6 linked regions of the Callithrix jacchus genome follow. The protein of the gene in region 1 interacts with the protein of each later gene in a pairwise test. Links are inferred from orthologs where the notes say so. Each region holds a gene or a part of one and is shown in the gene's direction. Other genes may lie near its edges. The genes, in order: DHPS, NUDT18, NIF3L1, EIF5A2, MAPK3 and REL.

Region 1 (4,983 bases):
CGTGCCATTGCACTCCAGCCTGGGTAACAAGACTGAAACTCCGTCTCAAAAAAAAAAAAAAACTTCATCTCAAAAAGAAGGAAAAAAAGCTGGGCACAGTGACTCACGTCTGTAATCCTAGCACTTTGGGAAGCCGAGGCAGGGGGATCATGAGGTAAAGAATTCAAGACCAGCCTGACCAACATGGTGAAGCCCCATCTCTATTAAAAATACAAAACTTAGCTGGCATGGTGGCGGGTTCCTGTAATCCCAGCTTCCCAGTAGGGTGAGGCAGGAGAATCACTTGAACCCAGGAGGCAGAGGCTGCAGTGAGTCAAGACTGAGCCACTGCACTCCAGCCTGGGTGACAGAGTGAGATTCCATCTCAAAAAAAAAAAAAACTCCTGATTGCACTCAACATAGTTAACATTCCATCTTCCCAATCAGACTGTGGGCTCCAGTAGGGTCCACATCTTGGTCTCTTTCACCACTAATTCCTCAGTGTCCAGCACAGGGCCCACCGTATAGAACATACTACACGAACTGTAGAGTAAGTGAATAATTCTCTCGACTGTATGCACTGTTAGGAGGGTGCTTTGAGATACCGAGGGTCTCACAGTCTTGCTGGAGGGAAAGATGTCAGCTGTGGGTCCCAGAAGAGGCTACTGACCCAGTGGAAGTTCAGGGAAGACTTCCCAGAGGAGGTGACAGCTGCAGCCATAGGGGAAGGAAGAACAGAGCGTTATGCAGCATGTGAAAGCTTTGGAAACCTGCAAGGGCACGAACCAGGCTCACTATTCCATTAGACAAGAGAGGCTGAGGAAAGCTGAAACCGTGTTTCACTCCGCCTGGTGACTGAAATCCTGTCCATGGGCGACGCTTAAGAAGCGATCCTCTAAACTCCAAGAATGTTAAGTTAAAAAAAAAAGAAAAAGAAAATGAAAGGAAAAAGAGAGAAAAAAAGAATAGATTCCCATACAAAAATTAGCTGGGCACTGTTGGGCGCGGTGGCTCACGCTTGTAATCCCAGCACTTTGAGAGGCCAAGGCGGGCGGATCATGAGGTCAAGAGATGGAGACCATCCTGGCCAACATGGTGAAACCCCGTCTCTAATAAAAAAACAAAAATTAGCCGGGCATGGTGGCGCGTGCTTGTAGTTCTAGCTATTCGGGAGGCTGAGGCAGGAGAATCGCTTGAAACCGGGAGGCAGAGGTTGCAGTGGGCCGAGATCGCGCCACTGCACTCGAAGCTGGCGACAGAGGGTGACTCCGTCTCAAAAAGAAAAAAAAAAAGTAGCTGGGCACGGTGATGCACATCTGTAGTCCCAGCTACTCCGGAGGCTGCGGGGGAGTCGGAGGTTGCAGTGGGCCGAGACTGCACCACTGCATTCCAGCCTGTGAGACAAGAACGTAACTCTATCTCAAAAGAAAAAAAAATTGAAATAAAAAAAATGAAAACAAAAAAAGAATCTTCATTTATACGAAGTCAAGAACTCGTGAAAAGGAATAAAGGCTCCTCGCGGCTTCCGTATTACGGAATACGTGCATAAAGATGGCAGCTACCTGGGTTCGGAGGGCTAAAGAAGGTCACGTGATCGAACAACTTCCGGTCTTCCAAGGCGCTTTCCTGGCTTCCTGTGATCTTGTGGAGACGTGCCTGTCGGGGTAAACGCGTTTCTGGACAGCCGTAACTCCGGCCTAGGGGCATCTGTGACTCGAGAGCCGGTTGCAGGTGCATGGAAGGTTCCTCAGAAGGGGAGGCGCCCGCGGCGGCGCTGGCCGCTGTGCTAAAGCACAGCTCGACGTTGCCGCCCGAAAGCGCCCAGGTCCGGGGCTACGACTTCAACCGCGGCGTGGATTACCGCGCACTGCTGGAGGCCTTCGGCACCACCGGCTTCCAAGCAACCAACTTCGGGCGCGCTGTACAGCAAGTCAATGCCATGGTGAGGACGGGGGCGGGACTTCCAGGGCCGCGGAGAGGCGTGGCTTGTAGAACCAGGGCGGTACTCGAAGGGGGCGGGCTTGTATTTGAGCGGCCCAGCAGTTCGAAGAAGGCGGGACCTATACTGGACGGGAATTTTGTCCTGGGAAGGGGACTTTGCACTCTAGTAGTTACATCCTAGGACAGCCTGAGGAGGCAGGAACGGTTTCTTGGTGGGCGGCCGGGTTCTAGGTCTAAAGCTTTCTGGAATGAGCGGAGCCTGGGGCAAAACAGGTTAAGGGGGCACATGGGAGGAGGAGCCTAAGTCTCCGCGCCCCGGGGCTTGAACTTAGATTTGCTTTTGCCACCGGGGAAGGGACGGGATCTGAAAAGGAGAGCCCTCTTGTTCTTAAAAGGGTGGGGACAAATCCCGAATGCGTGTCCTGAGATCTGGTCTGGGAAGGGGCAGGGTTTGTTTGCACAGGGGGTGTTCCTTGGTTCCTGGTAGTACTGGTCCTGTATCCCTGAATGGGCAGGACCTGGGGTGGAATGTTTCTGGAGCCCACCTGGAGTCCTGGGGCTGGAATTTAGGACCAGTGCTTAACTCGACTTGGCTCTTACCCCCAGATTGAGAAGAAGCTGGAACCGCTGTCACAGGATGAAGACCAACACGCAGACCTGACCCAGAGCCGCCGCCCACTTACTGGCTGCACCATTTTCCTGGGATATACATCCAACCTCATCAGTTCAGGCATCCGTGAGACCATTCGCTACCTTGTGCAGCACAACATGGTGGGGACCTGGTGGGGCCGTGGCCTTGGCCTCTGGGTCAATGGGCGATGCAGTTATTAATCGTTTAAGTGAGATGGGAGATAGGGGTCCGTTTTAAGCAGAGGAATAGAATCAAGTTTTGTTTTGTAGCAGAGCTCTCTTTTAAGAGTAACTGGACGAGGACGAGCTTAGAAGTCCTGCCCAGAATGAGGGCAGGGTCTTCCTTCTTGGGCCAACTTCACTGCCTTGTGGCTGCAGGTGGATGTATTGGTGACTACAGCTGGCGGAGTGGAGGAAGACCTCATCAAGTGCCTGGCCCCCACCTACTTGGGCGAGTTTAGCCTCAGAGGGAAGGAGCTCCGGGAGAATGGGATCAACAGGTGGGACTCCTGAGTGGTGGTGGGCAGGGGAGCTGGACCACGGATCCTGGGGCCTGATGCCCACCTGCTTCCTGTCCTCAGGATCGGAAACCTGCTGGTGCCCAATAATAATTACTGCAAGTTTGAGGACTGGCTGATGCCCATTCTGGACCAGATGGTGCTGGAGCAGAACATAGAGGTGGGGCCAGGGTGACTGGGAGGGGCCAGTCCAGCAGTAGTCAGGGGAGGCGTGGGCTGAAGCTCATGTCCTTTCCTAGGGTGTAAAGTGGACGCCTTCAAAGATGATCGCCCGCCTGGGCAAGGAGATCAACAACCCAGAGTCCGTGTATTACTGGGCCCAGAAGGTGAGGATATAGGCAGGGGCAAAGTAGCCAGACTTTGGCCTGTGTTAACTTACCTTATCTTTCCAGCCACCTGGGGAGTCACTACTGTTATTCTTAGCATCCTCACTCTTCGATGAGGAGACTCCAACACAGATAGGGGTGGTAATTTTTTTTTTTTTTTTTTGAGACAGGCTCTTGCTCTGTCATCCAGGCTGCAGTGCCTGGACTCAAGCAGTCCTCCCACTCAGCCTCTTGAGTAGCTGGGACCACAAGCATATGCCACTGTGCCCCAAAATACTAATTTTTGGCCGGGCGCAGTGGCTCACGCCTATAATCTCAGCACTTTGGGAGGCCGAAGCGGGTGGATCACGAGGTCAAGAGATCGAGACCATCCTGGTCAACATGGTGAAACCCCGTCTCTACTAAAAATACAAAAAAAAAAAAATTAGCTGGGCATGGTGGCACATGCCTGTAGTCCCAGCTGCTCGGGAGGCTGAGGCAGGAGAATTGTTTGAACCCAGGAGGCGGAGGTTGCGGTGAGCCGAGATCGAGCCATTGCACTCCAGCCTGGGCAACAAGAGCGAAACTCCGTCTCAAAAAAAAAATAATTAATTTTTAAGTTTTTTTTTAGAGATGGGGGTCTTCCTATGTTGCCCAGGCTGGTCTTGAACTCCTGGCCTCAAGCAGTCCTCCCACTTGGCCTCCTAAAGTGCTGGGATTATAGCCATGGCCCACCATTCCTGGCCTGGCTAGGTAATTTTGTCTGAAGTCACCCAGATAACTAGTGGGGCCTCAGCCTCCTTATCCTCCTCCCAGACTATCTCTGGAACAGTAGTGGCAGCACTTAGCAACTCCCCTGGGGCCTGGCTCAGGGTCCAACACTCCCAGAGGCTATAAAATAAGAGCTACCCACTCCCTTTAATTAGATCTTCAGAACCTGAAAAAAAAAAAAAAGAAAGCTACTTTTTTTTTTTTTTGAGATATAGTCTTGCTCTGTTGCCCAGGCTGGAGTGCAGTGGTAGGATCTCAGCTCACTGCAACCTCTGCCTCCTGGGTTCAAGTGATTCTCTCACCTCAGCCTCCCGAGTAGCTGGAACTACAGGCACCCGCTATCATGCCTGGCTGATTTTTGTATTTTTGTACAGATGGTTTCACCATCTTGGCCAGGCTGGTCTTGAATTCCTGACCTCAGGTGATCTGCTGGCCTTGGCCTCCTAATGTGCTGGGATTATAGGTGTGAGCCACCACGCCCAGCCTACCTATTCTTTTTTTGAGACAGAGTCTCACTCTGTTGCCCAGGCTGGAGTGCACTGGCACAATAATGACTCACTGCAGTGAGCTTCTGGGCTCAAGCGATTGTCCTGTCCCAGCCTGCTAAGTAGCTGGGACTACAGGTGCATGCCACCATGCCTGGCTAATTTTTTTTTGTAGAGATGGGGTCTTACCATGTTGCCCAGGATGGCTCTTTAAAAAAGAGAGGGCCAGGCCGGGCGCGGTGGCTCAAGCCTGTAATTCCAGCACTTTGGGAGACTGAGGCGGGTGGATCATGAGGTCAAGAAAATCGAGACCGTCCTGGTCAACATGGTGAAACTCTACTAAAAATACAAAAA
Region 2 (4,943 bases), on another chromosome or scaffold:
TGGGTAATATAGCAAGACCCCTCTATCTCTACAAAGAATTAAAAATTAAAAAACTTCGCCAGACCTGGTGTCGCACACCTGCAGTCCCAGATACTCAGCAGTCTGAGGCAGAAAGATAGCTTGAACCCAAGAGCTCAAGACTGCAGCTCCAATCTGGGTAACAGAATGAAACCCTGTCTCTAGGGGGTAACAAAAGGCACATATTATGAGGACGGGCCTTGTGTGTGGTAGCAAGAAGAGCTAGGCCCGAGAGGGACCACCCCTGAGGGTTGGTGGGCTGCCCAGGGGTGGTGCCCAGCACTGGACAATCCACACAGCTCCTCTCTGATTGTCATGCCTTCCCAACACACCTGTAAAACAAGAGTTGTTATGACCCTACTCTACAAATCAGGAAACTGAGGCCCACAGCTCACCCAGGGGCACAGAGCAAGACAGCCAGCAGCGACCAGCCATCTGGCTCCAGGTCTCGAGCTTTGTCCACACCACCAAGCCTGTCTTCCTAGCAGGGAGGTGCAAAAAACCAGCCAAGGAAGAGGAAAGGGGTGGCCTCTGTGGGGTGAGGAGCCAGACGGCCTGCTTCGAAGATCCCTTCCAGCTGGCCTTGACTTCCACTGCTGAAATGCGAGTGAAGGAGGAAAGGTCGGGATGGGAGAGGAGCCGGCGCTCGCCACAACAACCCCCACCCTGCTCTCCATGCGCCAGGTCCTGCACGCTGGGTGGGAGGGTGACGACAAGGATGGAGGAGCAGGGCCCCAGCCCCGCCCTCCCAGGACGCACCGTCTGCAGCGGCGAGGGCCTTGAGCTGCGTGGGAAATGAGGTGGGCAGAGGGCCACTGATGAGGGTGGGCCGGCTGACTGCAGCCCTCTCTCAGCCCCCGACACCTCCCGCCACCCCCGGCCCTGCCCACTCCCTCTTCCAGCGCCGGTCACTCTTCTTGCCCAAGCCAAGCCTTTAGCACTTAGCCTCGAACCGTCAGCTGATTCCTCATCTAGGACTACGCCCATCTCTCCAGCTACAACAGAATATCCTGAAAGGCAGGGGTTTACGTCCCCCACCCCAGGGGCCACATGACATAACTCTTTAGTAGAGTGAGAACAAAGTTATTTGGGATGTGATCAACTCCGGCAATGCCGTAGTGTGTTTACGGCAACAGCGGGACGGTAGGTCCAAGGGGCGGCCCCGGATCTCCGTGACGTCACCTGGCTTGTACGTCACTGTCGCTTGCGCCGGCGGCGAAAAGCACCCTGCATGAGAGATAACTTGACCATCGGAGCCCCTGCGGACCAGTGCGCGCTCAGGCAGTCGGTGAAGGGGGCAGCTGGGAGACGTCCCGAGCGTGCGGGACCGACAGGCGGCAGAAGCCCGGTGGGAGTCCGTGGGGTTCCGGCCGGGAACCCACCCTGCTCCCAAGCGGCCCCGCCCCCTCGGTGACTGTCGCGGGCCGGCCAATCCGGGCAGGCCGCGGCGCCGCGCAGCCTATCAGCGACCAGGGCTTGCGTGCGCTTCCGCGTTCGCGTGCGCGCCCAGGCCCGCCGCCGCCGGATCCCGCACTTGTCCGCGGCTCGGTCCGGCGGGTCAGCCAGGACCCGGGCCGTCGCTTCCCGGGGGACCCGATGGCTTCCGAGGGTATGGCGGGAGTGCTGGCGGCCGTGCTGGCCGGCCAGGGGCTGCGCGTGCAGAGCTGCGACTCGGCGCCGGCCGGGGAGCCACCGGCACCGGTGCGGCTGCGGAAGAACGTGTGCTACGTGGTGCTGGCGGTGTTCCTCAGCGAGCAGGTGAGCGGCCGCCAGCCGGGCCCGCAGGGCCTCGGGAGCGCGCAGCCAGCCCAGGTGGGAACGGAAGACCCAACGGCCACAGCCAGCGCTGCCGCGTGCATGGCGCTGCCCAGTTTTGCAAAGCACTCCCATTCCCACTCGCATCTGTGTCCTGCAGTCGTCCCAATATGGAGAAGAGGAAACTCAGGCCGGGGGCCTGTTCGTCTCACCCCACTAGGCCTCATTCTTTCCCTTCCCAGAGTCTAGCGGAGTGCCCAGGACCCCTCAGATAGCAGTCGCTCAACCCTGGCTTACCTCAGGCCTTTGGTGTGGATCCCCGTACTGGGCAACTAGAAGGGGCCAGGGCCATAGGGCAGGGTTGTACAAGGTGGAGGTCGGGGGTCGTGTTTCAAAGCCAGACCCCAGGGTGAGGATCCATCACAAACAGTTCATAGGCCACGCCGCTGGAGACAAGAGATACCCAATGACATGTACAGACGTAAGTCAATGCAAGACTGACACATGGTGGCCCTCACTCTGGGGCCTCATCTCCAGCCCCTGAAGCAGCTTCCAGGAATCTCAGCCCTTTCTGAAGTGCAAGTTTTCTTAACTCCAGAGAGGGACTAATTGCAGGGAGAAGGTTGCAGCCCCCAGCAACTTGAGGGCAGATCTCCCGCAGCGCTAGCTGGTTTAAGGGCGATCTTGGGCGACTGTGTTTGAGATGCCCCCTGGTCCCTGGGCTGGGGAAGGCTATGGCAGGAAGTGAAGATGCTCTCTCCCCTCAGGATGAGGTGCTACTGGTCCAGGAGGCCAAGAGAGAGTGTCGGGGGTCGTGGTACCTGCCCGCGGGGAGAATGGAGCCTGGGGAGTCCATCGTGGAGGCGCTGCAGCGGGAGGTGAAGGAGGAGGCGGGGCTGCACTGTGAGCCTGAGACACTGCTGTCCGTGGAGGAGCGGGGCCCCTCCTGGGTCCGCTTCGTGTTCCTCGCTCGCCCCACAGGTATGGCCTACCTGGAGGCAGTATGAACAGGGCCAGTTGACATCTTTTCCCCAGCTGCTTGGTGAGGTGAGCCCCTCCACAGCCAGTCCTGTTATGGCACTCTGGCATGGGCAGATTCCAGCCTGCAGGCTGGGGGCCTCTCTCCTGGGTCAGGGATGTCTGTTGAAGCTGCCAACACTGCACTTCTCTCCACACAGACCCTCTGCCCCATCCCCCACATCTCCCCAGGTGGAATTCTCAAGACTTCCAAGGAGGCTGATGCAGAGTCCCTGCAGGCTGCCTGGTACCCACGGACCTCCCTGCCCACTCCACTGCGAGCCCATGACATCCTGCACCTGGTTGAGCTCGCTGCCCAGTATCGCCAGCAAGCCAGGCACCCTCTCATTCTGCCCCAAGAGCTGCCCTGTGATCTGGTCTGCCAGCGGCTTGTGGCCACCTTTACCAGTGCGCAGACAGTGTGGGTGTTGGTTGGCACAGTGGGGATGCCTCACTTGCCTGTCACTGCCTGTGGCCTCGCCCCTTCGGAGCAGAGGGGTGGCATGAAGATGGCTGTCCTGCGGCTGCTGCAGGAGTGTCTGACCCTGCACCACTTGGTGGTGGAGATCAAGGGGCTGCTTGGGCTGCAGCACCTGGGCCGAGATCACACTGATGGCATCTGTCTGAATGTGCTGGTGACTGTGGCTTTTCGGAGCCCAGGGATCCAGGATGAACCCCCGAAGGTTCGGGGTGAGAACTTCATTTGGTGGAAGGTGACGGAGGAAGGCCTGCAAAGCCAGCTCCTTCAGCGGCTTCAGGGATCCTCTGTTGTCCCAGTGAACAGATAGGGCGGGGGAGGAGGTGACGAGGAGCTGGGCGGCTGTGCTCCCTCCAGTGTGGCCTTGTCTCCCTCTGAGGGAGGCAGGAGGCTGGCGACCAGGGATCTTGTTGCATTGGGAGCAGGGGTGCTTTCCTGGTCCCCAGAAGAGATGCTTTGAGGAGCTTTCCTCTAGATCGCACAGGGACAGTGCCTTTAACCAAGCAAGGAATCCAAAGCTCAGGACCTGGCCACTCTTCGGGCACACTGGCACTTCTCCCCGGGGGTTGGGAGCTTTCTGCACTCCCAGTGGTGTCTTGTCATCACAGTTTGTGTTTTCCTTGGGAAAGGCCTGCATCCTGATCCCTCCAGGCCCTTAGAGCTGGGAGGGGCCCTGGGGAAGGTCTCCTGAGGGAGGAGCCCTTGCTCAGTAAAGAGGTGTTGCTTACCTTGCCTCCCTGCCTAGATGTCTCTGTGGGGACAAAGTGATGTGGACTGCGTCCAAGAGCTGCTCCTCCCCTTGTGCCACCGACAGCCACCTATGTCTTTCCCAGTGCACTGACAATGCGGGCCAGCCTGCTGTCCAGGCTGGGCTGCTGGCCTGGGATGTGACTCTTGAGGGGACCCATCCCTCATGAAACACAGCTTGAGTCCTCCAAGGGTTGGGTAGTGGGTGACCCTGGGGGAGGTTCACGTGGGACAGGAGAGAGCGCTGCCTCAGCTTTCTCCTTGAGCCTCCCTGGTGTGGACCCCTCCCACGGCTCTCCTGCCTCTGCCTTTTCACAACTTCAGCCCACGCCAGACCAAACCTTGTCTTCATTTCCCCTCAGCCTGGCTGAATCACGGTAGGATTTTTTTTATTTTTTAAGTAAGCTCCGGGCATAGTGGCTCATGCCTATAATCCCAGCTCTTTGGGAGGCTGAGGCAGGTGGATCAGTTGAGGTTGGAAGTTCAAGACAAGCCTTACCAACATGGAGAAATCCTGGTTCTACTAAAAATACAAAATGAGGCAAGTGTGCTAGCTCAGCAGGAGAATCACTTGAACCCCAGAGGCAGAGGGTGCAGTGAGCTAAGCTGATATTGCACCATTGCACTCTAGCCTGGGTGACACACTCCCTCAAAATAAAAAAGAACTTTGGCCAGGCACAGTGGCTTACACTTGTAATCCCAGTGCTTTGGGAGGCTGAGGCAGGAGGATTGCTTAAAGGCTAGAGTTTGAAGCCAGCCTGGGTAACATAGTGGGACCCTGTCTCTACAAAACAAAACAAAAACAATTAGCCAGGTGAGGTGGTGCACACCTGTAAGTCCCAGCTACTCAGGAGGCTGAGGCAGGAGGACTGCTTGAGCCCAGGAGGTTGAGGCTGCAGTGAGCCATCATCAGGCCACTGCACTCCAG
Region 3 (4,461 bases), on another chromosome or scaffold:
TATGTAATTCATTTGGTCCTCTAGATGGCCTGTGAGGTGGGTTATAGTATCTCCATTTCCTAGGCGAGAAAACAAGAGAGGTTAAATGGCTTACCTAAGCTACAGTGTGCTGGTAAGTGGCAGAGCCACTATTTGAACCCAGATCTCTATGATGACAACTCTTGTCCATATGATTTGATGCCTCAAAGATCCAGGCCTAAAGTGTACATGTGTACCATTTTCTTTGTTTTGACTTCAGAAACGACTTTTACCTGATTTCTGTATGTTGTCATCTTGTGTACGCCCGGTCCCCACGACAGTCCGGTTTATAGATTCCCTGATCTGCAATTCTTCCCGTTCCTTCATGGATTTGAAGGCTCTCCTTTCTTCCTTGAATGACTTTGCATCCCTCTCCTTTGCTGAGAGTTGGGACAATGTTGGATTACTGGTGGAACCAAGCCCACCACATACTGTAAATACCCTCTTCCTGACGAATGACCTGACTGAGGAAGTGATGGAGGAGGTGCTGCAGAGGAAGGCAGACCTCATTCTCTCCTACCATCCACCTATCTTCCGACCCATGAAACGCATAACGTGGAACACCTGGAAGGAGCGCCTGGTGATCCGGGCTCTGGAGAACAGAGTGGCTATCTACTCTCCTCACACAGCCTATGATGCTGCACCCCAGGGAGTCAACAACTGGTTGGCTAAAGGGCTTGGTGAGAAGCCGCTTTCATATTTGTTATTTTACCTACAAATACTTTGAAACTTTCGAATGTCTTTCCAGTAAAGTTTTGACTGCTTTCGGGGTGGGAAGGGTATCATTCCATTTTTATATCATTTTAAAATAATTTTGCTGAAATTTGGCAGTTAAATTGCATTTGAAAAGAGAAACATTTTTTATCTTTATGGAATGAGAGCAGAAGTCTTCCTTACTGGACTGAGCTTCGTGATTCCTCATTTTTGTGGCACAATGCCTGTCACCTAGGCACTTGAAAAATGCTTGTTGAATTGAAAGCTCAGGTCTCTCCAGAATACACTTGATACGTCAGGTAGATAGACGTCAGGGATTTAATGAATGTTTTTAGTGAATGTTTACCTATGCCTAGCCCAATGAGGGAATGATATATGCATTTTAGCTTTACTTTAATAAGTCTTTAATTTACTCATTTTGGGCTGAAGCTTTTATGATGATATCTGGATTACTATGGTCAAATAGAGTACGAGCATTTGCAACCTGAATAATGGTTTATGTGGGTAGATTTACCAAGCAGTAGACAGTTCTGTGTATTATCTAAAAATGTATGAATCAATCTTTCTTGTCCAAGTTTTTTAGAGATTTAAGAATCTTTTGGAAAATAATTCTGAAAATAATTTGACTTTGTATGTCCATACCAAAGCCCTAGATTATGGGGAATGGTGATGTATATCTAAGGGATATGTATGTGTGTGTGTATGTATCATATAAGCATGAGAATGAATCTTTTAAAAAAGTCATTTCTTAGAAATTTTGCCTACAATAGTTTATCTTTTAAATCTTAACCTCTCATCCCCCAAAACTCCCATTTTCCCACAATTATTTTCTCTAGGAGGTTGTACTTCCAGACCCATACATCCTTCCAAAGCTCCCAACTACCCTACAGAGGGAAACCACCGAGTAGAATTCAGCATTAATCACAGCCAAGACCTGGACAAAGTCATGTCCGCAGTGAAAGGAATTGAAGATATTTCTGTCACTTCTTTTTCTGCTAGGTAAAATTTCTCTCTTTTTTTTTGTGTGTGTATTTATTTGTAAGCTTCTTCCTTACAAAGTCTATAACCCTGGTATTTAGGCTTGAAACAAATCATTTTCTCTGGATTTGGTTTACAAAGCAGCGTACTCCTCATTTGTATGTGAGTCCTGGAGAACTATTGACTTTTTTTCAAAACAACAAAAATGGTAAGTAACACTTAATTGAGTATTTCTATGTTGGGGGGTGATACTCTGCATTTTATTTATTTATTTATTTATTTGAGACAGAGTCTTGCTTTCACCCAGGCTGGAGTGCAATAGCGTGATCATGGCTCACTGCATCCTCTGCCTCCTGGGTTCAAGTGATTCTCCTGTCTCAGCCTCCCAAGTAACTGGGATTACAGGCGTCCACCATCATGCCCGGCTAATTTTTTGTATTTTTAGTAGAGACAAGATTCCACCATGTTGGCCAGACTGGTTTTGAAGTCCTGACCTCAAGTGATCTGCCTGTCTCAGCCTCCCAAAGTGCTGGGATTACAGGCGTGAGCCACCACACCTAGCCCCACCTCAGCCTCTTGAGCTAGGACTTCAGGTGTCAAAGGAAAAATACATTAAGCGCCTCTTTAAAAGGTCAGTCATTTAGTTATTTAGGGCAGAGAAAGGAGGTTTTTCTTTTTGTTTTTTATTTTTGAGAAACAGGGTCTTTGTCACCCAGGCTGCAGTGCAGTGGCATGATCACAGCCCACTGCAGCCTTGACTTCACATGCTCAAGCAATCCTCCCACCTTAGCCTCCTAAATAGCTGGGACTGTAGGTGCTTGCCACCCATGCCCAGCTAATTTTTGTATTTTTTGTAGAGACGGAGTTTTGACTTATTGCCCAAGCTGGTCTCGAACTCCTGGGCTCAAGCCATGTGCCCCCCTTGACCTCCCAAAGTACTAGGATTGAGCTGCTGCCCCCAGCCTAAGCTCTCATTATTTTTAATTGCTTATAGTGTTTTTTTTTTTTTTATTATGGATGAACGGTAGTTTCTTTAAGCATTCCTCTTCCTACTGATGGACTTATTAGTTTGGTTCCAGTTTTTCCATATTGTAGATAATATCTGGGTTTTACCATTAGATAGGGACCAAGGCATTGGTTTTCTTTCTTTTTTAAAACAATCCACAGATGATTCCAGTGTTTATAATTAATGCTTCTAGATTATTTTTAAAGGTGTCTTTTTAGTTCTAGAATTTTATGATCATATTTAGAGTTTATGGTTAAATGTAAAACTTTCTTGATGCCAATAATTTTGGAGAGGCCCCAGAGGGTGATCCAAAGACCCCCTGCATGATTATTAATGAGCTGCTTATTTAAAATGCAGATATTTGTATTCATCTCAGATCTTTGTAAGTAAAATGGAGTTTGCCTGAGAATCTGTCCAGGACATTCTTGGATTCAGTGTTGTTTTAAAATTATCATCTTTAAGGTTTTAAAAAAATTCAGTTTGCCCCAGCCCCATTTGTAGATGTTCTGTTTCACTGGTTCTGTGGAAGGATCCAGCAGCTGTTATTTTAAGAAGCTAGAAGGAATTTTTTTTTGTTTTGAAACAGAGTCTTGCTCTCTCGCCCAGGCTGGAGTGCAGTGTTGTGATCTCCGCTTACTGTAACCTCCACCTCCCAAGTTCAAGTGATTATCTTGCCTCAGCCTTCCTAGTAGCTGGGACTACAGGCGCCCACCACCATGCCTGGGTAATTTTTTTGGTGTTTTTGGTAGAGTTGGGGTTTCTCCATGCTGCCCAGGCTGGTCTCGACTCCTGGGCTCAAGCGATCCGTCCACCTTGGCCTCCCAAAATACTGAGATTACAGGTGTGAGCCACTGTGCCTGGCCAGGAAATTTCTGATGCACGATCAGGATTGAGAACAGTTCTTGAATGGTGGTTTCAAAGTGAGGTCCCTGGACCAGCAACATCAGCATCACCTGGAACTTGCTAGAAAGGTATATTCTTAGATTCCCACCTAGATATAATGAATCAGAAACCCCAGGAGTGGGGCCCAGCACTCTGTGTTTTAATAAGTCCTCCAGGTGATTTTGATGCATACTTGAGTTAGAGAAATGCTATTCTAGAAAATTGATTAGTTTCATATTAAATGGGTTCTATTGGTTAAATCCTTAGCTCCATGTAAATCTAATCTCCTATTATAGTAGGTTTGTAAACTGTGGATTATCTAAAATACATTTTGGCTATATTTATCCTAAATGGAATGATTTCCCCCCCCCCAGAATTGATGATGAGGAACAAACACGGATTAGTTTGAATTGTACTCAGAAGGCTTTGATGCAGGTCGTAGATTTTCTTTCCCAGAACAAACAACTTTATCGGAAGACAGAAATTCTGTCACTAGAGAAGGTAATAAATGTATTTTGTATTTGATCTTAAAATACTGTGCATTTTCTAACAACTTTATTGAGGTATAACCGATATACTAAGAATCATACATATTTGGTATATACAGTTTGATGAGTGTCATTACTTTGCATTTTTCTTCAGGGAATCCATTTGTAAGTTATTAGATCAACAGGCCATTCACTGTTACCTAAAGTACAAAATGGCAATGAGAGCATAATATTCTCTGGGAAGTAATTGAGAAGGGAGACATTCCAGGAATTAAAATGTTGGTACTTCAGGGTTACAGATTTGGTTACAAGTTTGCTGTCTCCTTATGTTACTCCCTCTGCCTGGACCATGTCATTCACTTTAACTCAATAGCC
Region 4 (5,023 bases), on another chromosome or scaffold:
GGAAATTTTACTTTATATGAATAACTTAAAAAGGTTAAAAATAGAGAGCAGCAGTCAAGATCAAAGGAACAATGCATGTGAAAAATTTAGTACCCTACTTCCCTATATAAATACTAAATACTATTAGTGCTCATTCTAAAAACAATAGGGAAAAGTTAGAAGGTATAAGGAAAAGCAGAAAGACCTCATGAACCAAAACTCCAATCTGGCTTTTTCTTTCTGGGTGATTGGGCGTGGGGGGGCGGGATGGTCTCACTCTGTCACCCAGTTTGGAGTGCAATGTCCAGATCTCGGCTCACTGCAGTCTCCACCTCCCAGGCTCAAGTGATAGATCATTTCACCTCAGCCTCCCAAGTAGCTGGGACCACAGGCGCAGGCCATCACTAATGTTTTGTATTTTTGGTGGAGACAAGGTTTCGCCATGTTAGCCAGGCTGATCTCCTACTCCTGAGCTCAAGCAACTCACCTGCGGAGGCCTCTCAAACTGCTAGGATCGCAGGCATGAGCCACTGCTGTAATGGCTGTTTCATATATTAGCTAGAGGCTGAGTTCAGTATATGAGAGGGCAGTAACTTACTGTAAAAGTTAAACTGTACATGTTTGAAAGATATGTGTAAACTGTAGTCATATATGAATGTGAGATATGAGATTATTCATAAGACAGTAACAGGAAATCAAAGTACCACATAAATGCGGGTGTGGAATGAGAAGTAATTTCCTAGGTCACCTCCCCAAGAAAGGACACAGTGGGTTGTGAAATAAAAATGTGAAGGGGGAGCACATCTCTTTTAAGAACCTTTCTATTGCAGTCTACAAGCTCTAGGTCAGTTGTGAAGACCATCCAAGCGTTCTAATACGGCAGAGTTAAAACCCAAACTCTAAGGAATGCCAATACCAGGAGGAAAGAAGGGATGAGTTGGCAGGACACCTGTCTGGACCAACAATGTGATACGGGTCAGACAAGCTCCGCCTCCACAACTTCACAACAGCTTTTGGTGTGAGAAGTGGATTAAGTCATTTCACTGCTGCTTGTAAGCTGGCGGATGCTTCAGGAGTGTCCACCCCAGGGAGCAGTGCTGACTCTACAGGGGCACCCTGCGGCAGTCAATGCCAAAATCTCACCAAGGGGTGAGTGAGGTTCTCAGAACCCATGGTGCCGAGCCGGGTAATAAAATACTGCACGTGAGTTCTTCTGCGAAGACCAGGAGGGGGCTTCGAACCCCAAGAAAGGCTGCAAGCTGAACCAGAAGCTCTAACCCAAAGTTCCCTTCACAGCCAGCCACATTGGCACTCACTGAATCTGCGCACCTCACGAGTGCCGACGATCGTCCCGTGATAACTGCCATGTACCTGACGGCACGGGCCACCGGGTGCCTCACTTGGTTCCCATTAAAGTAGACTGCGACCCAAACGCAACAAACCTAAGAGTTGGAAGGCGCAAGTTCCTCTGCCAGCGAGCTCACTCAAGCAACCAGAATGCTGAAAGTGCTCTCCACGCCGGAAGTGCACTAATCCGCAGCACGTGGGGTTGCCAGGGCGCGCTTCACGTGACTGGGCGGGGCCTCGGGAACCTGGTAGCCAATGGTAGCCCGAGGGGGCGGTGCCTGTGACGCTCCAGGGCCTATCCCGGAAGTAAGGCTGGGGTGGGGGCGGGTAAGGGCGGGGAGGCTGGGGTGTGGAAAGTGTGGCGGCCCCGCCCCGGCTCTTGGAACTGCCGCGGCCGCCAGCGCCGCCGCCGCCGGCGCCGCAGCTGTGGGGGACCTGCGCGGGTGCGCAGGCGAAAGGCGCTCGTAGCCAGCTGAAAGGTGAGGATCTGGGGAAAAGCTGATGGGGATGGGGCCAGAGCGAGGCAGGGCCGGGGAAGGCGCCCAGAGCCGAGCGCTGACCGAGGGAAGGAAGAAGAATGGATAGGGGAACGGAGGCAAGCGCGGGACCCGCCGGGGCTCAGGCCCTGGTGGGGCCGAGCCGGGCCGGGCCGGGCCGAGCCGAGCAGAGCCGGGGATGCCGGCAGAACAGGAGGCGCTTGTGCGGCCGCAGCGGCGGCGCTGAAGGGTGGAGGGCGCGGTGCGCGCCCGTTAGCAGAGGGCCGGGTGCTGCCGGCCAGGTCCTGTTACTCCGCATCCTTCGCGGGGACGTGCGGCCTGGGCTGGGTCCCCCGCAGTAGGGTTCGGGGCGGCGGCGGAGAGCTGGGTGGCGCGGGAAGGTCGCCGGCTTCTGCGTTGGGGCGATGGGCGCCAGAACCTGCTGTTTCCAGCGTGGAGGAGCGCCCAGGGCGGATGTCCCCACCCTCTGCGGGCTCCTCTGCGACTTCTCATCCCACCTCCCCAAACAATAGCTGGAAAAGTTTCTAGAGGCCAGAGTTAGAGAGTGCCCGCTAGTCTAGGGTGGGTGTTCTATACATGCAGAAATAACAGGCCCATGATGCTTGGCACATAACTTGTCCGAAATGAGACGTTTCCCTGCCTACACACCCATTGTTAAAAAGCAACCACAAACTTTTTGTGTAGTTCACACAGAAAAACTACCACCTCCCCAACCCACCATGGCGGACGAAATTGATTTCACTACTGGAGATGCTGGGGCTTCCAGCACTTACCCTATGCAGTGCTCGGCCTTGCGCAAAAACGGCTTTGTGGTGCTCAAAGGACGACCATGCAAAATAGTGGAGATGTCAACTTCCAAAACTGGAAAGCATGGTCATGCCAAGGTAAGTGCCCTTGCTGTTCAGGCTTTGGCTTCGGCCTTGGGATTTTGCTCATTTGTATTCTGTTGCAGATCATGAGATTACTATACTTAAAATTTTGTAATAAGCACTATTTTTTTCTGTCCCACAATTGCTGAGTGATCAGTTATTACTTTGAAAACTTAAAGGTAGCATTCCTTTCTTGGACCCTTACAATGTTTCATTAACGGGGAACTGAAACTTTCTTGAATGGTAGTGACCTAGGTCTATTCAGTTTACAGATGAGAAAACCTGTTCTACTAATTCTAAGAAACCTACACTTTATTTTTCTTGTCTACTCATAATTGAATCACTGGACTATATTGGGTCTTGGCAGGTCATGATACTCTTTAGTTGTTACTGCATCTTAATTGTATGACCATTACTTTTTTTTTTTAAGAAAGTAAAATTAGATGACCTTGGAAGGAGGAGAAAAAGAACCTGTCGTAATCAGCGTTGGTATTGTACTCTTGTGTGTGTAATGAGTGATATACTTGGCAGAGATTAAACAGGTTTCCTGTTCCCCTCTGTTAGGTTCACCTTGTTGGAATTGATATTTTCACGGGCAAAAAATATGAAGATATTTGTCCTTCTACTCACAACATGGATGTTCCAAATATTAAGAGAAATGATTACCAAGTAAGCACTGATTTTTCTTTAGAATGTTGCTTGTTTCTTCAAGGTACAAATACTTCATACTATCAACAGCAATTTGACAAAACCCAAGAGTGGTTTTGTAGGTTTTTCTAACCAAGTATTAGGCACCACCTATCTTAGAAATTGGAGAAATTATGATGTTTAACATGTGTTCCTTTTATAGGATTATTGCCAGCTTGCTATTTTTTCATATTCTTGCATTTTTTAAAAAGTCAAATACTTATTGTGTTCCTCAGGCCAAGTGACTGCATATTCCAGCTAAGTCCTATGCTTTGTAAAAGTACCATCCTCTCTGTTGTAAAATATTTCTAATTTAGATAGCTCCCTCCTGGATGTTTTGTTTCTTTTCACTGATCAGACTTAAGACATTCAAGAAACTACTGAAATTCATGTTCCTACCAAGTTTTTCATGTTAATGAACATGAGTCAGAACTTGACATTCTTAAGTAGGGAAATAAGCTGAAACCCATAAATATAAAGGATAAAATACACGGTCACCGAGTATGATAAAGAAAACACAAAAACTATATAAATGGTTTAATTATATTTAGTGACCATGCTGTGACCTTTTGCTAACTTATATATGTAAACCTCAAGTTTCAGTTATACATTGGGGAGGTCATATTTAATGATAGCATCTTAGTGTTTGGAATATCGATGGTAACCAAATAATTGACCTCATAGGATATGGAAGCTCAGATTACTCAAAGCTAAAGCTTTTCTTGAAAGTCTTCACTTTTTGTATCAAGCATACCATATATCAAACTCATTTTTGCTCATCTTACATAGTAAAAAATGCAGAGTTGACACTGAGATTTGTTTTATCCAAATTAAACTGACTTTTTTCTGTACCTTTTATTGTATTATATAGATTTTTTTAATGTTGCTATCAGCTGCACCCAATGATTTTCTTTTGCTGTTTGTCCACCTGCAAACATAATTTTTGGAGTTTCAATCTAGTAACACTTATATTTTCACTTTCCTACCTGTCCTAAATGTTTTCTAGATTGCTTTGAAGTCTTTGTAGAAATTTGAATTGTCTTCATATAACAGCAAGTGTTTTTTTTGTTTTTTTGTTTGTTTTTTAATGAGGTAGATCTGGGTTTGGATCTAGTTCTGCCACTTTCTAGTTGGATGATTTTGGACAAGTTATACAACCTGTCTTAGCCTGTTTTCTCATCACAAAATCAGGATAATATGAGGATAAATGAGAAAATATACCCCTTTTGTGGATATGTATCAACAAGTATTCTTCTGTTTCCCCCTTTTCCTATGTATAAATTCTACTTTATCATTTCTTTATTGTTAGAGCACCAAATTTGATGTGGTGTGTAGTAGATGCTCAAAATGCATTTGTTAAATGTATATGTGATTATTGAATGTGGTAAGGATAATACAGTAGGCCAAAGCTGAGCATAGAATTTTCTTTTGTCAAAATTGGGTTTCTCTTTTCATCTTAAAATATGAATGTGTTGAATATTCAATATTCATTATATTCAGTAATATTCAATATAGAATGCTTTTGCCTATTGCATATTTCAGAAAGATGGTGTCAGCATTTCAGTAATTACTGTTATACTGAGATAAAGTTAGACATTGATTGAAGCTCAAGACTTAAAGGAATATTTATGTTTGGGTCCTAGA
Region 5 (4,171 bases), on another chromosome or scaffold:
TGTAGTCCCAGCTACTTGGGAGGCTGAGGCAGGAGAATGGCTTGAGCTCAGGAGTTAGAGGCTGCAGTGGGCTGTGATTGTGCTACTGTACTCCAGCCTGGGGGACAGAGAATGACCCTGTCTCAAAAAAAAAAAAAAAAATGAGGAAGCTAAGACCCAGAAAACCTAAAATCAAGTGTTTCTCTTGCTGTCTCCTCCTCCCCTCCCCCAGATGGGAAGTTGTCCTTCCTCTAGGACTTCTCACTCCAAGCAGCACCCTAATCACCTGTGGACTTGCACTTTGCCCAGGGAGGAGACAACCTAGCCTTGGTCTCCTCCCCTGATATTGCTTTCCTGGTTTGCTGTCCACTTCCTGGCTGGCTCTTTTGTTAGCAACTTGTGACACCTGTCACCTCTTCCCTGCCACACCCAATCACTCTCGGTCCCAGCACTCCACCCAAGAGAGGGGATTTGTACTCTGGTGTCTATAGCCCCCACCACAAACTGTGGACAGGAAATCTCCGCGTTCAGCCCCAGCTCGCTGTGTCATCTGAAGCAAGTCACTGCATCTCACTGGGCCTCCCCAGCTCTAAAACAGCAGGGCTGGTCCAGATGTTCTCTGAAGACTTCTTCAAGGCAGACCCCCCCTCCCCCCCCCCCCCCCCCCCCCCCCGCTCTGTTGCCCAGGCTGGAGTGCGGTGGCTAGATCTCCAATCACTGCAACATCCACTTCCCAGGTTCAAGTAATTCTGCCTCAGCCTTCCAAGTAACTGGGACTACAGGTGTGCACCACCACACCCGGCTAATTTTATATTTTTAGTAGAGATTTCACCATGTCGGCAGGCTGGCCTCGAACTCCTGACCTCAGATCACCAACCCACCTTGGCCTCCCAAAGTACTAGATTACAGGTGTGAGCCACAGCGCCTGGCCTCAAGGCAGATTCTAAAAGACAGACCTGACTTATTTTTCCAGACACAAGCCAAACGACATTTGTGGATTTATTTATTTATTTACTCACAGTCTTTGTTTTAGCTTCAAATGGAAAAAGACATTTTACTCCTCCATCTTCTGAGGTATGGCCAAGCACTCTTCTTTGAGTGGGAGTGTGCTGTTGGGAGTGTCTCCTCGTTTTTCTTGCACAAACCATTCCCATAAGGCAGGCATTTATTTTTAAGCAAACATCTATTGCATGCCAGATGGTGTTCATCCATTATCTCATTTAACTCCCGCGGCGTCCCTGTGACTCAGGCCTTGATATTAGTAATAATAGTTCACGTTTCTTTAGCACTCACAACTTGCCAGGCGCTGGGCTGACAGCTTTACATGCGCCACCTCATCTAGTCTTTACAGCCACCCTCGAAAGAACCATTATTTCATGCTTGCACCTGTAATTTCCAGCACTTTGGGAGGCCGAGGCGGAAGGAACTCTTGAACCGAGGAGTTCAAGACCTGCCTGAGCACATAGCAGGAGTCCATCTCCACAAAAAAGAAAAAAGCAAATAAACAAACAAAAAACATTATTTCCCCGACATACTAGGTGAGAAAGTTGAGGCACAGACAAGTTGAGATCTTAAAGCCAGTGAGTAGTAGAGAGAGGATTTCACACATCCATGGGTTAACTCCTTTTTATTTTTTAAAATTAATTTATTTATTTTTGAGACAGAGGCTCACCCTGTCATCCCAGCTGGAGTGCAATGGCAAGATCTTGGCTCATTGCAACCCCAACCTCCCGAGTTCAAGCCATTCTTATGCCTCAGCCTCCTGAGTAGCTGGGATTACAGGCACATGCCACTGTGCCCGGTTAATTTTGGAATTTTTAGTAGAGACGGGGTTGTGCCATGTTGCCCAGGCTGGTCTCAAACTCCTGGCCTCAAGCAATCCTCCTGCCTCAGCCTCCCAAAGTACTGGGATTAGAGGCGTGAGCCACTGCTCAGCCCCAGTTGCTGCTCTTAACTGTGAGGTTCTCCTGCCTCCCACAGTTTATTAGTATCCCCATTTTCCCAGTAGAGAAACTGAGGCCACAGAAATGAAGCCTTTTGCTCAGGCTCAGCAGCTTCAATGCAACAGAGGCTGAGTCCTGCTGCTGGGTGACAACGGCAGCTTGCCCAGCTGGCGGTGCAGGTTGGAAGTTCTATTGAGCCCCAAGGGCCCTGGCTGGAGGTGTGCAGGCTTGCCTTCAGAGCCTGTTTTCCTTAACCAAGTGCCTCCCGCTGCCCCTTGCCCGGGGGGCCTCCGGAACCATCCTTAGCTACATTGTGCAGGACCTAATGGAAACTGACCTGTACAAGTTGCTTAAAAGCCAGCAGCTGAGCAATGACCACATCTGCTACTTCCTCTACCAGATCCTGCGGGGCCTCAAGTACATCCACTCCGCCAATGTCCTCCACCGGGATCTAAAGCCCTCCAACCTGCTCATCAACACCACCTGCGACCTTAAGGTCAGAGGGTTGGGCACCTGTCTCCTCCTCCCCCAGGGTCTGGAGCTTCCAGGTGACCAGTGGAAGCCATTGGCAGGAGAACATTGCAAGCCAGGGGAACAGCAGAAGCAAAGACAAGGGGGAGTGACTGCTTGGGCTGCGGAGGCCTTGAGTGCCAAGCTTAGCAGCTGGGTCTGATTCCAGATCTGTGATTTCGGCCTGGCCCGGATTGCTGATCCTGAGCACGACCACACTGGCTTCCTGACAGAGTATGTGGCTACACGCTGGTACCGGGCCCCAGAGATCATGCTGAACTCCAAGGTAGGAGGGGCTGCCCACTCCTGAAGGGAAGGGGCCAGGTCCCAGGAAGCCCTGGAGCTACCTCTGAGCCAGGCACTGACCCCCATTCCACCCTCTGGGCTTGGGCTCTGCAAGGAAGCTGAGAGTGGAGCCCTCCAGGCCTCTGCCTTCTGCCTGGTGTTGGATCTAGCTTGGGGTGGTGGCCTGGCACAGGCAGCAGGACCCTGTTGAGGCTGTCCCGGGAGCCCATCACTTCCTCCTTTCTCCCAGGGCTATACCAAGTCCATCGACATCTGGTCTGTGGGCTGCATTCTGGCTGAGATGCTCTCCAACCGGCCCATCTTCCCTGGCAAGCACTACCTGGATCAGCTCAACCACATTCTGGGTGAGGGAGTCCCGGCTGACTGAGTGGGGGATAATTAGCTTTTCCTAGGTGAGATTTCTTGAGAGTCCGAGTCAGGGATATCATCATCATGTACGGGGTGCCTCCAGCATCTCCTAGACCTCAACGAGGTATAGATATTATCCCCACTGGAAAGATGGGAAAAGCAAGGCTAAGTCCTACACCTAAGGAGGCACCACACCTAGGATTTGAGCCTCAGTCTGCCTGAATCCAGCCCCTTGCTCTGCTGGGAGAGCAGACTAGGAGGTGACTAAGAGTTTGGCATGGGTTGCTAGGCTGGGGGGTCTTGTTCTTGCCCTCTTGCCTGTTCTGTTCCCAGAAAGGAGGAGGTGATCATTTACCAAGTCACCTCCTTATCCACAGGCATCCTGGGCTCCCCATCCCAGGAGGACCTGAATTGTATCATCAACATGAAGGCCCGAAACTACCTACAGTCTCTGCCCTCCAAGACCAAGGTGGCCTGGGCCAAGCTTTTCCCCAAGTCGGACTCCAAAGGTATGAGAGACGTGGGGACGGGTGTGGCATAAACCCTGGGAGCTGTGGAGGGTGCGTGAGTCCAGCAGCCACCGGAGGAGACGGGCCCTGGGCATGGGGAAGCAAAGCGATGCTCCTGGGAGCTCCTCCAGCCTTCCCTGTGACCCCTGACTCCTGCCCTTCCATAGCCCTTGACCTGCTGGACCGGATGTTAACCTTTAACCCCAACAAACGGATCACAGTGGAGGAAGCGCTGGCCCACCCCTACCTGGAGCAGTACTATGACCCAACGGATGAGGTGGGCCAGTGCCTAGCAGCAGCGGGGCTGGGGGCAGGGGATCAAGTCGGCATTCCCCACACCGGGCCTGAGCCTTACCGTCTCTGCCACCCCAGCCAGTGGCCGAGGAGCCCTTCACCTTCGACATGGAGCTGGATGACCTACCCAAGGAGCGGCTGAAGGAGCTCATCTTCCAAGAGACAGCACGCTTCCAGCCTGGGGCGCTGGAGGCCCCCTAACCTAGACAGATATCCTGTGCCCTGGGGCCTGGTGAGTGTCCCCATGGCCCGCACACAGACACACTGATACTAAATATAGAT
Region 6 (4,461 bases), on another chromosome or scaffold:
CTCTTGACCTCGTGATCAACCCGCCTCGGCCTTCCAAAGTGCTGGGATTATAGGTGTGAGCCACCATGCCCGGCCCCTCTTTCACTTTTTTAACAGATCTATATTAGATAGATGTCTAAGGACATTTCTTAAATATAGTATGGAGTCTTTCCCACTGCAGATAGTTATATGGTGCTTGTGTATTAACCTAAGTAGAGCGACTCATAATGTTTAGTGTACATTGACAGCTTTTGGATCATGTTCTCTTTCATGGAACACACAGCTAATAAGGAAAACACATTCTCTCCTTACAGAGGTGAGTGATATTATTCTGTAGATTAAACATGGATTTGAGAACTCAATCACAATTCTTCTTGGCTAGTCTTAGGACTAGAACATCTTTTTCTTCTTTTTCCTTACCTTTATTGCCTGTCTCTGATTCTCTGACTCGTTGACTGATTTGAAATAACACTTTTTAAATATGGTTTTTTTTGTATTAGCATAAATTTTGAAAAACTTTTGACTTTGGTAAACATACTAATAGTTATAAGATGTACTAGATTTATTTATTTTTATTTATTGAAACAGTTTCGCTCTTGTTGCCCAGGCTGGAATGCAATGGCATGATCTCGGCTCACTGCAACCTCTGCCTCCTGGGTTCAAGTGATTCTCCTGCCTCAGCCTAACGAGTAGCTGAGATTCCAGGCACCCACTACCATGCCCAGCTGATTTTTGTATTTTTTGGGAGAGTCGGGGTTTCACCATGTTGGCCAGGCTGATCTCGAACTCCTGACCTCAGTTGATCTACCCGTCTAGGCCTCCCAAAGTGCTTGGATTACAGGCGTGATGTACTAAATTTATATTTTCTATTTGTCAGCTATTTTTTTATTTGACTTTCAGTGAAGGGTTTATCCTTTAAATGCCAATTAAAAACTTTAATGGCAAAGTAGATTTTGAAGTGTTACTTTTATCAACAGATCTTAATTCACTGTTTTATAAGTAGATTATTTACAAAGTCTATTCTTTTGATGAACTTAAAGGGAATTGCTAATTATAGAATAAACTAATGGCAAGATTATATATTGAATTCCAGATTCCTATTTTTATCACATTTTAGGCAGTAATATGGATTTGGGTTATCTAAGTATTTTAAATGTTAAAATGGATGAGGTGCTAATAAAAAGGAAATAAGGAAATACTATTTGTCCAATTTTGGAGCCATTTTTAAACTATAATTCATCTTATCCTATGCATCTCTAAAATATTTCTAAGATCTGTATTTTTACAATTCCAGTAGGTCCTGAACACTTTGCAGCTTGAGTTTTGTATTTGCCTCCTTAGAGTCTTGAGCAATTACCTTCTCTTTCATCCAGAAAGAAATGTAATACCTTCTGGTTACTGTTCAAATTCTATTTAAATTCAAAATTACAGATTTTAGTGGCCGCTACCTGGTAAGCTACCCATTCTTACTTTACCTTGTTCCTTTGTGGTATGCTGGTTTTTATATGCCCTGCTTTGTTCTTACAAATTTACTAGCTTTCAAACTAAGCATTAGTTTCTATCCTTCCTTTTCCATGTTAAACTCTCCTTTTTACTCTGTTCTGTATGTACTTTCTATGTGAAATTTGATGTTGTTAAACTAAATTTGATTTATTGCCTATTCTAGAGTGAACTCTTGGGGTATGCTTACTGAACAAATATTTTTATGAAGTGGAATGTCACATATTAAGTAAAATGATCATTTTATATGCTATCCTTTCCAGTGTGGCTTAAATATATTTTCAAGGAATGTTTATGGCATGACAGTACATTTAAGAGCTGGGCATTCAGTAACTTAACATCTGTTTTCTCATGTCTATGATAAAATTTGGGTATAGTTTATTTGTTTTGAAAGGAAAATAAGCATAGTCAAATGATTTGACCAATTGAAATTAGGGCAGAAAATATGTCAATGAACTGAGAGGTAAGTTTTTCTCTACTGGTATTCTCTGGAAAGTTTCATCAGTTGGACTTTATTTATCAGGTGTTGATTACATGATAATTAATGTAAATTGAACTCTCATTTAGATCTGTTTATAATGTGATCCATTTGGATCATATATTTAATTTCCCCCTTTTTTCAGATTATGAACTATTATGGAAAAGGAAAAGTGAGAATTACATTAGTAACGAAGAATGACCCATATAAACCTCATCCTCATGATTTAGTTGGAAAAGACTGCAGAGACGGCTACTATGAAGCAGAATTTGGGCAAGAACGCAGACCTTTGTTGTAAGTATACAGTTACAGACATCTTCAGAAACAAGATAAGGCATAGGATGCTCTGTTTCTTCTCCATGACAATTTGTTACTTTTAAGCAGAATAATTTTCTCATTCTAATTCTGTTTACTATGTTTTACATCTTCTTACTATTTGCATTACAACTACCCTTTCGTTCTTCATTTGTAGACACATCTTATGATGATGATTAGCAGGAAGACATTTTTGTAGTTATTTAAAGTAAACATTAAACTTATTGTATACTGTGATTTCCTTTCTTGGGGTGAACAGTTTTTTAAATAATTTTTTACTATCTTTTCATTTATAGTTATCTTTATTATTATTGTTGTTATTATTTTGAGACAGGGTCTTACTCTGTTACCCAGGCTGGAGTACAGTGGCATGATCTCGGCGTATTGCAACCTTTACCTCTAGGCTCAAGCAATCCTTTAGCCTCAGCCTCCTGAGTAGCTGAGACTACAGGATGTACCACCATGCCGAGCTAATTTTTGTATTTTTCGTAGAGATTGGATTTTGCCGTGTTGCCCAGGCTGGTCTTGAACTCCTAGACTCAAGCAGTCTGCCCACCTTGGCCTCCCATAGTGCTTGGGATTATAGGTGTGAGCCACCATGCCACACCCATTTATAGTTAATATAAAAATGGCTGGATGTGGGAGAAATCAACTGGAAAACTCTACAATTATTATTTAGAAAGTAGCAGGTTATAGAATTAACATACAGCAATAGTTCTAAGAGAAAAATAATTATGTAATAGTTTATGATCGTGAGGCTACCAGAAGGTGGGCCCATTCATCATGTTAGTGAGAATGTAAATTAATGAAATCTGTTAGGCAATTTAACTACATAGCAAAAGCCTGAAAAATATGAATGCCTCTTGAGCCCGCAATTCCACTTCTAGTTTAGCTTCAGAAAATAAATAAGCCTATTCAGACATTTCACTCTAGTGCTGTTCATTGCAGTTCTCTTTGTAATGGCAAAAAGCTAGAAGCAATCCAAATAGTAAAGGGGATTAACTAAATAAACTGGTACATTCATCCAGTGTACTCCTGTACAGCCTTAAAAATCATATTGCAAATATGTCTACTGATATGTAAAGACAATCACAATATATTAGATACATAGGGTTTTTTGCTTTGGTTTTTTTTTGTTTTTGAGACGGAGTCTTATTCTGTTGCCCTAGCTGTAGTACAGTGGTGCAATCTCGGCTCACTACAATCTCCATCTCCCAGGTTCAAGCAATTCTTCTGCCTTTGCTTCCCAATTTAGCTAGGATTACAGGTGTGTGCCACCATGCCCAGATAATTTTTTGGTATTTTTAGTAGAGACGGTTTCATCATGTTGGCTGGGCTGGTCTCAAACTTCTGACCTTCAGTGATCCACCTGCCTCAGCCTCCCAAAGTGCTGGGGTTACAAGCGTGAGCCACCGCAGCTTGCCAGATAAATAGGTTTTAAAACAATATGTGAAGAATAATCTTATGTTTATAAATATAAATTTATATATATACATGATAGTACATATGTTAGTACTAAAGTATTAATAGTAGTTGTCTGGGTGGGTAAGATTGTAGGGTTTTATGTTTGTCTTTTACCTTATTTTATAATTCATTTTTGTAATGAACATGTATTGGCTTTTGGGGGAAAATGAACTAGTTACAATAAAAAAGAGATTCATAGTCCCACATATATTAGTAATAACCATTTAGAAAAAAAATGCCTTAAATGCTCCTCTTAACAATAATAACACAAAACATACACACTTGGCAAATATTTGTCTATATTACTTGACCTCTCAATAACATTTTACATTGTGATCACTTCTTACTTGAAACATTTTTATTCTTTACTTCTGTGAGAATAAACTTCCGTTTTACTTCTTGCTTTTCTGGCTGTCCTTTCTTAGTTCCGGGCAGTTAAATTTTTGAACCACCTCACTTACTGTCCTAATAATGCTCTTTAGGGCTGTTCCACCTCTTTCCCCAATTTAGGATCCCATTAAGGATCACACACTAGAGGTAGCATTATATTTAACATGAATAGTGTTTTCATGTTAACGTGAAACATTTTGGGCAAGAAACCTACAGAAGCGATGCGGTATAATTCTTAAAATATCCCTTCAGTTTTTTACATTCTTGGGTATATTAATTGGCATTCTGTTATAAAGAAGAACTTTCCCTTCTTCACTATCTCCATTTAAAAAGTC

The links.
Region 2: the proteins of DHPS (region 1) and NUDT18 interact in binary tests that used the Homo sapiens proteins (3 or more experiments, as listed by UniProt). The two-hybrid records come from large-scale screens. The link is inferred for Callithrix jacchus from reciprocal best matches to the Homo sapiens genes DHPS and NUDT18.
Region 3: the proteins of DHPS (region 1) and NIF3L1 interact in binary tests that used the Homo sapiens proteins (3 or more experiments, as listed by UniProt). The two-hybrid records come from large-scale screens. The link is inferred for Callithrix jacchus from reciprocal best matches to the Homo sapiens genes DHPS and NIF3L1.
Region 4: the proteins of DHPS (region 1) and EIF5A2 interact in binary tests that used the Homo sapiens proteins (3 or more experiments, as listed by UniProt). The two-hybrid records come from large-scale screens. The link is inferred for Callithrix jacchus from reciprocal best matches to the Homo sapiens genes DHPS and EIF5A2.
Region 5: the proteins of DHPS (region 1) and MAPK3 interact in binary tests that used the Homo sapiens proteins (3 or more experiments, as listed by UniProt). The link is inferred for Callithrix jacchus from reciprocal best matches to the Homo sapiens genes DHPS and MAPK3.
Region 6: the proteins of DHPS (region 1) and REL interact in binary tests that used the Homo sapiens proteins (3 or more experiments, as listed by UniProt). The two-hybrid records come from large-scale screens. The link is inferred for Callithrix jacchus from reciprocal best matches to the Homo sapiens genes DHPS and REL.

The regions. Positions count from the first base shown.
Region 1 is NC_133523.1:11,498,788-11,503,770, reverse strand, and holds the start of DHPS (deoxyhypusine synthase), read left to right. Parts: upstream 1-1,599; 5' UTR 1,600-1,714; coding exon 1,715-1,921; intron 1,922-2,085; exon of another isoform or gene 2,086-2,193; intron 2,194-2,526; coding exon 2,527-2,691; intron 2,692-2,928; coding exon 2,929-3,050; intron 3,051-3,131; coding exon 3,132-3,228; intron 3,229-3,307; coding exon 3,308-3,394; intron 3,395-4,983. UniProt on the Homo sapiens protein: Catalyzes the NAD-dependent oxidative cleavage of spermidine and the subsequent transfer of the butylamine moiety of spermidine to the epsilon-amino group of a critical lysine residue of the eIF-5A precursor protein to form the intermediate deoxyhypusine residue.
Region 2 is NC_133514.1:19,378,359-19,383,301, forward strand, and holds NUDT18 (8-oxo-dGDP phosphatase NUDT18), read left to right. Parts: upstream 1-1,508; 5' UTR 1,509-1,614; coding exon 1,615-1,776; intron 1,777-2,540; coding exon 2,541-2,754; intron 2,755-2,982; coding exon 2,983-3,578; 3' UTR 3,579-4,003; downstream 4,004-4,943. UniProt on the Homo sapiens protein: Mediates the hydrolysis of oxidized nucleoside diphosphate derivatives. Hydrolyzes 8-oxo-7,8-dihydroguanine (8-oxo-Gua)-containing deoxyribo- and ribonucleoside diphosphates to the monophosphates. Hydrolyzes 8-oxo-dGDP and 8-oxo-GDP with the same efficiencies.
Region 3 is NC_133507.1:122,002,363-122,006,823, forward strand, and holds part of NIF3L1 (NIF3-like protein 1), read left to right. Parts: intron 1-238; 5' UTR 239-262; coding exon 263-698; intron 699-1,568; coding exon 1,569-1,731; intron 1,732-3,972; coding exon 3,973-4,099; intron 4,100-4,461. UniProt on the Homo sapiens protein: May function as a transcriptional corepressor through its interaction with COPS2, negatively regulating the expression of genes involved in neuronal differentiation.
Region 4 is NC_133518.1:16,140,469-16,145,491, forward strand, and holds the start of EIF5A2 (eukaryotic translation initiation factor 5A-2), read left to right. Parts: upstream 1-1,707; 5' UTR 1,708-1,805; intron 1,806-2,507; 5' UTR 2,508-2,542; coding exon 2,543-2,707; intron 2,708-3,256; coding exon 3,257-3,361; intron 3,362-5,023. UniProt on the Homo sapiens protein: Translation factor that promotes translation elongation and termination, particularly upon ribosome stalling at specific amino acid sequence contexts.
Region 5 is NC_133513.1:29,409,592-29,413,762, forward strand, and holds part of MAPK3 (mitogen-activated protein kinase 3), read left to right. Parts: intron 1-2,228; coding exon 2,229-2,418; intron 2,419-2,601; coding exon 2,602-2,718; intron 2,719-2,967; coding exon 2,968-3,082; intron 3,083-3,463; coding exon 3,464-3,595; intron 3,596-3,762; coding exon 3,763-3,872; intron 3,873-3,967; coding exon 3,968-4,090; 3' UTR 4,091-4,121; intron 4,122-4,171.
Region 6 is NC_133515.1:53,236,564-53,241,024, reverse strand, and holds part of REL (proto-oncogene c-Rel), read left to right. Parts: intron 1-227; exon of another isoform or gene 228-295; intron 296-1,273; exon of another isoform or gene 1,274-1,430; intron 1,431-2,102; coding exon 2,103-2,251; intron 2,252-4,461. UniProt on the Homo sapiens protein: Proto-oncogene that may play a role in differentiation and lymphopoiesis.